Neodiprion lecontei: one gene and its partner. The main gene of each other region encodes a partner of the protein of the gene in region 2 in a complex. Links are inferred from orthologs where the notes say so. Each region holds a gene or a part of one and is shown on either strand. Other genes may lie near its edges.

Region 1 (4,486 bases), on a different chromosome or scaffold from region 2:
TTACTTTATCTTACATAGAAAACAATTTTTCTATAGCTGTCGCAACACAGATCAAAATCAACATTTAAATGAAATGGAATTGTTTGCGAGTAAGCATATTTATTTATTAAATATGCTTATTATATTTATTCAAGCTTGATAGTTACGAGAAATTTGATACGAAAAAAACCACTACTTTGCATAAATAAAAATTAATCTTACATACCGCAAAACAAATAAAACATATCCAGAAGAGCGAATCAGACAATCTGTCGGCTGGGAAGCCAGACATGATTCTGTTTAATTTTATTAGCCATACTGCAGAGTAACGTACATTGTATAATGGCTTATAAAGCTTCTATGGATTCTTTTACGCATAACTAAAATTCTCTTCAACAGCCACTTGGTTGTACACTTTAAAATAAACCTGGCTTCTTTGAAATAAATCAGTATTCATTATTGATTGTGAGCGGTTCAGATGCGTTTATAGTAATCTATTAAACTGTTGCGAAAGAGCAATTCAAAATCATTCATAAACGTATTAAACGTACTTATTTCTTTTATTTTTCATTTGTAAGCGAAACTTATTGATTACTTAAAATTAAAACACGAGTTTCATCTTATAGTTCACAGTTATTGGTTTGCATTACTAAAACTCCATCAACATATCTGCAACATAAAATGACATTTATACAATAATAATATATTATATCAGTCACAAAAGATACGAGAAAATAAAAAATTACCACTCTGCAAAATCTTCTGTCCTTTTGAAGCATCTTCCAAATTCCTTAAAAATTCTTGAAAAACATGAACAGATTTGTTCAAGCTAGTTTTTTTATAGTCCTTGATTTTTCTCCTAGTGTTTGATTCTTGGATAGAGTCTTCTTTGGCGTCGAATGCATTGATTTCCTCGATTAGCAAGTTTATCGTTGGTACAGTTAACGGGTTAAATTTACCAATAGCTTTTGGGCTAAACGGCACACTGACTTTACCCGATTTTGGATGAATACAGAACGGCGATTTCAAAAGATGGTTCATTCCCTTGGTCACGTTAATATCCAATCTCGGATACGCGTACTGGATCATTATTTCCTCCAGAAGATGATTCAGACGCCATTTTTTACCCTTTAAAGAAGATGAAAGTTGGAAATGAGTTTTTTTAATAACATCAAGAAAATTGAAGATACTACATTGTACAAAATGTAATCATCCTACCGTTTGTTTCTCGACTTGGTAGCAGGCAGTGAAGGCCTCCCAACGCTCAACACTAGATGTATGTTTTTTGAATAAATCCTTGACCTGGGATCTTAAACTATCGTCAAGAATAAGTGGTAAGAATTTGGCAACACCTTCTTCTGTTCCGAGCATATTCTGCTCCTCGACGCACATTGATACGAACAGTGGTTCTATAATATTTAGTGCACGTCTGTAAGATATAAAATGAATAAACATCTGATCTAACAGATTCTTGAATGCAAATCACAAATGGAAGAATCAAGAACTCATAAGCATCCAAAACGGATTACACGCTGACCTCACAGAATGGTGTAATTTTGGGCCAGGAAAGTTGACTTTCTTGGCTTTTAGTTCTCCACCAGTAATAAGCTGTAAGTATTCGGCAACGCAGCCGCGGGTCATCGAATTCAACTCGCGAGCTGATTTATCGCACACCCAGCAATGTATACCTCTTCTTCCAGAAAATACCCACAATAGATGCTCAAAGCCAAAATCCTCTGATATTAAATTTCAAGTTTTAGGTATTTATCACTTCAAGTTTCAAATCATTTTACATTAGTCATTGACAGTGCTTTACCTCTAAGTGCGGAGTCCAATATCTGGCAGGCAATCACCATGTACTTCCAGCATTTTGTACATATGTCGGCGCCTGAACAGCAGCTTCGAACATCGTCATAATCCGTCATATCTATATCAAAAACAAGTTCTCTTTCTACCGGCAGAAAACTTGAAAATTTCTTCTCATCTTTTGGGCTAAAGAGAAGTCGATCAATACATCGATTATTATTTCTACTGACGTAAAAAAAAAACAAATACTGGAAAATTCCGGATAAAAATAATGGAAGATTGAAGAATTTTTGGTTTTGGAATTATGAGACTGGAGAGCTTGAGTAAAAAACGAATCTGACAACGAGCAGGCATAATTTGAATTGTTGAATTTAAATAATAAGTAGACCAAGGTATTTCGGTTCTTACCATATATTGTATATCGCACCGATATCAATTTTAAACGGCAAGAGTCGTCTGCATTCCAGTTGTAGTTCATCTTGATTAACGAAGGAACGATATCGTATGTAGACGTCATCTCTTACGGTGAAAGAAAATTCTCTGCGTGAAAAGACGCTGGCTGAAAAGAAAAGGATGTACCGCCATTGATAAGACTTTGGATTAAAATTAAAAGAAAGACCAACAAATTTCCCTCCTACAGAAATAATAAGCCTGCGGCTAAAATTGACAAGTTAACTTACGATCACCGTAGCTCAGCCACCTGTAGTAGTCGTGAAACGGAAAAAGCCGCTGATAGTAAAGAGGCAAAAGATCTATCAGATTCTCTATTCCCTCGGTTGACATCCTTTTAGGTTAGGCGCGTTTATTGCACGGTCGTATCGAATCTTTTCTTCTGCATTCAATCAGCAGTTTACTCACGATATCATTCAATCACAGGACTGAAAATTAAACTCCGTCAAAATTCTTTCGCACGTTCACGAACACTGCCACAAATTAAATACACAACAGGATTACAAATGTTACAATGTGTACACGCAATTTGACAGAATTATTTTCGCGCCAATTCCTAGCAGGTTTTTCGACCTGAACGCGATCTGTCAATCACAATCTTAACTGTTACGAATTGTCGACTCGTAATTGGCTCGATTCAGATGAATGATCCATTTGCGCCAATCAGAGATCACAACTTTCGCCCTCAAAAGCAGCTGACTTTACCTTCATTAATCCCTGGCAGGCACATCCAACCGTTCATGTCAAATATCTCACATATTAAAATTATAATTGCTATCTATGGCCAAGTAACTGTTTTAAATTATCATAAAACAAAATATATTTATAATAGTACAGTGTATTTTAAGCTTACTTTCTTTACACAATGCGGATGCATCCACAGACGTAATTGGATAATAACTGCATATTTTGACAACAAGGTCACATTGTAGTACGACGTATTTATGTTTATACGTATTTTGGATATGAACAGTGCGTGTAATTCTATGAATAAAATATATCATATCACCAAAGCGTCGGTACTTTGCCATAAATCATTTCAATCGTAATTACACGTTTTTTACACCTTACCTCGTAAACTCAGGCTACATCAATTTCGCTAATCGTATTCGACTCCCTTCAAAAAAATGTCAAATTTTTTTGAGTACAGTATGGGTACGGCGATATTTTATAGGTCACGAATTAATATTTATACGTATTTATAAGTTTGATGCAGGAGTTGTTCAAAACAGCTTGTTTACATTTTCGGTAAAATAGCGATTCAATATTTTATTCAACACACCGAGATTCGCCGATAAACAGCAAATTAGGTGTGTTCTTCAATCACCTACCAGTCTAAATGCGACTTACCGAATTCATATTTCATTACTGCTGTCATTTATAATGCCCCTCGTCTCTCGTGAGTGGATTTTGAACGATGATTACAAATTTTACTCACATATAAAAGTTGACCCTAAGCTTTCGCGGCATGATGAAGTTGGGGCAAAATCAGATGGAACTCTCTGGTGGATACTGGAACGCAAAAATGGGTTGTCCTGTGTTTCTAAAATCAAAGAATACTTTCAAATTTGCACGTACGACCATGGTATGAAACTTGACACATGCATCAAAGACAAAGCAGTTACCCAAGGTTTAATCAAGTTTGTGACTTAACAAAATCACGTTCGATGCTTGGAAAGAAGAATTAAATATTTAATATTACTGCGCAATGAAGTTTTTGGTGGTAAAAACATTGTGCTTTCAAATACTATTTTGTCAAGTACACAGTTTAACCAAATCAGTGAGAGGTCAAACATTGATCGTGAAAAATTTGAACAATATATTGGAATTGTTTTTTGTCGATTTGTTGAAACACTATGTGGAAAAAAGCGAGCCTCGACATATAACAATTGTCGGAGCATCCGCCAATGATCGCAGTAAAGCTCAATCGCTGCTCAACTTTTATCCTTACATTATGTGTACAAATATGGAAAAATGTGCTTTCTTGGAAAGGTTCAGCGAAAGAACTCTTGTAATTGTATTTTTGAACAAATTCAGCGAAAAGAAGTTCCGAAAGAACGTCGATATTCTCTCACGGTGTCAAACATGCCACGTCCTCTTCGTATCCAGCACGATCATGCCGGTTAATAATATTCGGTCGATTTTCATCTGGGCTCATGAGCATAATATGCCATACACTGAATTCGCACAGCTCGCGAAGGACGTCGTTGAGCTCTACAGTCGTTTCGTGACCAAGAACTGTTCTACGGAA
Region 2 (5,026 bases):
TAGGATGCTGAATTTCAGCACCCGGATTTTGAAAATGATATCATGCGAAAGACTAATAGAATTTCAGATACATTGTGGTGCCAATCGTTTGCGCGTCGTTTGCGCAACCAGCAGCACGAAATAATTTAGCAGAAAATATGAAAAATGACCAGTAAAAGAATTATTTTCTCTAATATACCCGGAAATGAACACGGGTAACTAACAAAATAATGAAGTAGATATAAATATTGCGAGAGGTATTGCACTAGGTCTTGAATTAATTCAAGCAATATGTTTATTCTCACTTTCAGACGCTACCGATTTAGCAGTTTTTTGCTCTTCGGTTATACATCCGGATTTTTCCTTCAGAATTGCTGACATTTTTCACACAGTTAATTAAAATTTGATTTTTCATTGGGCTCGCTAGATGATGCTTATGATGCTTAGGATGTTTTACGCATCCTCTCGATGCATTGTTGGGAAGAACCGAAGAATCGTATTGTTATGATGCTTTCTGAATTTCTCTGGTAAGCTGAGCAATGATTGGCTGTTGCAAGATTCTCTTACGCGGCAGCACTGGCAGCACTGCTGGCTTATCCTGTACAAGGTCCCTAGATTAGACAGGTCAAGACACGTGTGTTCCAGTTTTTCTCACTATAACGTGGGCAAAAATGTTCTATGCGCGTTCGCCCAAAAAATATCAAATTTACATTACCGCATTAACCAGTTTTGACCAATCTTGCTCAATTTTTTGAGGTTCAGCATTAACGAGTTGCGCCCTTCGTGTCCTGACGTTCACGAAATAAATAGAAGCACGTATATATTTTGAGGTTAATCATTGTGACAGGTCAGGAATCAGAACCACACCGGGTGCTTTCCATTTAGAGCACAGTGTGACACAGTGTACAAATTTCTATTGTAAGCGGCCAACCCGGGCAAAGAAATAGACCAGAAATGTTTACACCGTGTCATATTGTGCTCTAAATGGAAACCATCTATTGTCATACGAAACTTTTGGCGCATTCTCACTAATTATTTTGACCATGCGTGTCTTGACCTGTCTAATCTAGGGACCTTGATCCTGTACATATAGGCCGTGTTCGAAAATTGACTGACAGTACTGTCGGCAATCTTTTATCTCTTTTGCCCTTCCAAGTTCGTGAATAGCTCTGATTCTGTCCTAGGGAATTTTCAGTACTGTCAGTCAATTTACGAACACGGCCATAGGGTGCTATTTCGGCCGTGTTCGAAAATTGACTGACAGTACTGTCAGCCATCTTTCACCTATTTTGCGCTGCCGAGTTCATGAACAGCTCTGTCTCTGTCCTAGGGAATTTTTAGTACTGGCAGTCAATTTACGAACACGGCCTTCATGAGCAGTAAAAAGCAGCAGTGGTTTAGTAACTTAGTAGTTTTCACTAGCATCAGTCTGGTAATTTTACGCAGCAGCAGCGCTGCTCATGAAATAGGTCGACTGTTCTTGTGATCTTGTGGCTTGTCGCTCGAAAAACTAAACTGCGAGCAGCAGAAACTTGCGCCGGAAGTGATAGGGGAAAACTGCTGCTGCTGCTGCCTTTTACTGCTCATGAAATAGCACCCATATACGTTGGGTGCTTTCCATTTACTGACTCAAGTCGACTTGTGTCGCTATTTCTGGTGTATTCCTTTGCCCAGATTGGCCGGTTACACCAGAAATAGCGACACAAGTCGATTTGAGTCAGTAAATGGAAGGCACCCATACATGTTCTAACCAGAGAGAAACCTTTATAAGGTCCTCCGTCAACGACTTGAATTCTCTAGCTAAATTTGTTTTAGTAATAACGACTAAACCATTGACTATCAGACATGGGAATACATCATCAAACATCAACAAACGACCAACAAAGAATTAAAAAGAAATCAATTTATTTGGGTGTCAATGACGGCCTAAGTATAGGTATAATATTGACCTGTTTTCTACCTGCTTCTCTTATTAGTTTTAACTTGACCCGTCAGGAGGCAGATCTTTCTTTTTCCATCTTAACAGTGTAATGAGTGTTGGTAGTATTCTTACCATCTTTTTCAGTGGTTGGCACCTTGCGGCAATTTTCCCGCTAATTTTACTGTAGTAGGTTGTGAAATTTTGTTTACACGTCGGTGCAGTTGCTCGGCTCTTAGCAGCCACGTGTTTTATAAATCATATTTTCTGCTTCCCTCCTGATCTGTGGTGTAGATTATGATTTTATGATCTTCTTATTCGCTCCATAGAACGCAGAGTGTTCCGTTGTGGAGTGTTAGTGTTAGCTTTATGACGTTTGGATTGTTCGTTTGTTTCGCTCTTACATCAGCATGGATGAACCTGCATGTAAGTCTTTCTAATTTAACGTGCATTTTTCAATGTCAAGTCGTATTCCCTCGACAAATAATCCATTTTAAAATTATTGGCTTGACGAAGATCTATAGATATCCTAAAACCTTATTATTGTCAATCTCGATATCGTCACATATCCATTGCATTCTTTGTCACGATTAATGTCACCGGTGTCACCTGTTATAACTCGCCCCATACTAGCTTAGAGACCACTGCGATACCATCGGATTATGTGAGATTGAAACTCGTAACGTCAATGTGACCATGCGATTTTGATAATTGCTATTTCGCAATTTGAGGATGGTCTGAAATCCGGTAAACTGTAATGGAGCATCAATTCACTCATGTTTTGCCCATTCAAGTCCTTCAAAGATATACCGAAGCTATAGAATGGTAATTTTTCTTTCGACATTATTTGGTTATCCAAATGTTACAAATTTCGGTCTCATATGCAAGTTATGGTCAGCTTTTGTGAAGATCTGCAGTTTGATAACTGTGGAAATACGTAACCTTATGTACATAGTAAAGGGGATGCATTACTGATCCTACAAACTTTTTCTAAAAATACAATATTTTGACCACTAATAAATTTCTAACGAAATGAGTTTTTACCATGCTGTTTGAATCGACTGTATTCCGTATCTTGTATCTACCAATTATTAGTCCTACTAATATCGAGATTTTTTTTTCATAACCTGCATTATACAACTGCTCTACTAAATACAAATTTCAAAATTATTATAATAGCATAAGGGCACGAGGTCGAAGTTAGTCATGTTATCGTGATGAAACATTGAGACAAAAGTTAATATTTTACTATTTCAAAATAACTTCTAAAGGAATTAAGTTTCCAAAATATGAAAAAGTTTTGCTTCAATGCGGCTTATGAATTCCTGGGAAATGCTCAGGTTATGAAATAATAGTTTTTCTTTTAAATGCTTCGTTAAGTTAGGAATTTAATCCCATGATGAAAAATGATTGTACAGAACAATTGATTTGTCATCACAGACCAAGTATCGGGTAATACGATTTTAAAAAAACTATTGGCCATAGAACGACAAAAGAAACTCCAATTCATTAAAATGTAATCCACTTTCGCTGGTTTACAAATTGTTGAACCAATTATTTCACAAACAAATACTCAAGCTGTGTTACTCCAAGTTGCAACTCGAAACACCACCTTGGATTAATTATTTTCAAGGTTTCTGTGATACTTTAAATTTTACTTAAAGGAATGCCGGACACATGTAACGTATTTGCATTGCTGAAGAACGTTAACAATTATTTTCGTTTTTTTCAGTAGGGTAGATGCGCCGATAGTTGGTCATCTTTGCATACCGTAATTTTCAACACACAATTTATGTATTGGGGGCACAAATTAATTCGGTCCGTTCTCAAAAGATGGATCTATAAACGTGGCTCTAAAAACATTCAATTTTTAAGTAGTAACAGCTGATTGCCCTGGTTTTAGACAAATTGGACACCTGCCGATAACATCCAGTTTGTATTGTTGTGAGTTTCATATAAAACGTTTTTTGTTACGCTGTTGAAAATGTCACTTTTTTTGATAACTGAACACCATTTGTGGGAAGTTTTAATTTTTTGTTTTAATTGGAAAAAAAGTTCAGCTAAAGCTCATCGTATGCTTGTGAAAGTTTACGGTGACAATGCTCCAACTGACAAGTCACGTAGAGAATGGTTTTGGCGCTTCAAAAGTGGTGATTTCAGCGTTGAAGATAGACCTCGCTCGGGACAGCTGAAATTCGTAGACGATGAATTACAGGCATTACTCAATGAAGATCCGAGTCAAACGCAAAACGAGACTATAATTACTTCGTTTGAACCGTGCATTACGAGAAAAACGACCGGAATATAAGGAAAGACATGATAAAGTTTTTTGCATGACAACGCTCGGCCTCATGTCGCAAAAGTTGTCAAAAAATATTTAGAAACGAACAAATGGGATTTCTTACCGCACGCGCCACATTCTCCGGACATTACTCCTTCTGACTACGGACTGTTTCGACGGATGCAACACGATTTGGCAGGTCACCGCTTCACTTGTTTCGAAGAAATCGAAAATTGGCTTCAAAATTGGGATTGCCGCAAAAGACGAGAAGTTTTTCTTACACGGGATTCCGAAATTGCCTGAGAGGTGGGGAAAAGTTGTAAGCAGTGATGGACAATATTTTGATTAATTTGTTAATTCATTATCTTTTGAAATAAATGCATTTTTTGAGCGAAAAAAACGGACCGAAATAATTTGTTCCTCCAATATAACTATACAATATGAATTTAAATAATGATGAATGGAATGATCAGGCGGCTTTCTTCAAGTTCAAGGCTTTCGATGTGCAATCAAACAAGTTTTTTTTTTTCCATCCGAACTACTGCGTATGACACAACCTGCTACGCAATGTTCTTCTCCCACCCTTAATGCTTAATGTATTATTTTTTGCAGTACAGATTGTTGTACAAAATATAAGTCACATCTATCTTAGCAAAGATTACAAATCACAAAAGCATACAAATTTTGTTTAAATTAAGCATAGTATCGATATTATTTTGGACTAAATTTGTAAGTGGCTGACAACTGGAGGTGGCTGGCTTACCTGTGCATCTGTCTTATGATATCCGTGAAAACAAGCTCTGAAAATAACAAAATATACGTAATTCATACAAAATTTGAAAGACAGG

Evidence for each region. The genes of interacting proteins can lie anywhere in the genome.
Region 1: DNA polymerase alpha catalytic subunit (region 2) and DNA primase small subunit share a complex: the UniProt entries of both Drosophila melanogaster proteins name them as parts of the alpha DNA polymerase complex. The link is inferred for Neodiprion lecontei from reciprocal best matches to the Drosophila melanogaster genes PolA1 and Prim1.

The regions. Positions count from the first base shown.
Region 1 is NC_060261.1:38,830,943-38,835,428, forward strand, and holds DNA primase small subunit, read right to left. Parts: upstream 2,820-4,486; 5' UTR 2,569-2,819; coding exon 2,466-2,568; intron 2,345-2,465; coding exon 2,194-2,344; intron 1,972-2,193; coding exon 1,796-1,971; intron 1,716-1,795; coding exon 1,517-1,715; intron 1,409-1,516; coding exon 1,198-1,408; intron 1,108-1,197; coding exon 726-1,107; intron 649-725; coding exon 629-648; 3' UTR 526-628; downstream 1-525. Other genes in the region: uncharacterized protein LOC107219690, read right to left, coding at 206-224; uncharacterized protein LOC124293032, read left to right, coding at 4,202-4,486. UniProt on the Drosophila melanogaster protein: Catalytic subunit of the DNA primase complex and component of the DNA polymerase alpha complex (also known as the alpha DNA polymerase-primase complex) which play an essential role in the initiation of DNA synthesis.
Region 2 is NC_060264.1:15,990,454-15,995,479, forward strand, and holds the start of DNA polymerase alpha catalytic subunit, read left to right. Parts: upstream 1-2,018; 5' UTR 2,019-2,307; coding exon 2,308-2,323; intron 2,324-5,026. UniProt on the Drosophila melanogaster protein: Catalytic subunit of the DNA polymerase alpha complex (also known as the alpha DNA polymerase-primase complex) which plays an essential role in the initiation of DNA synthesis.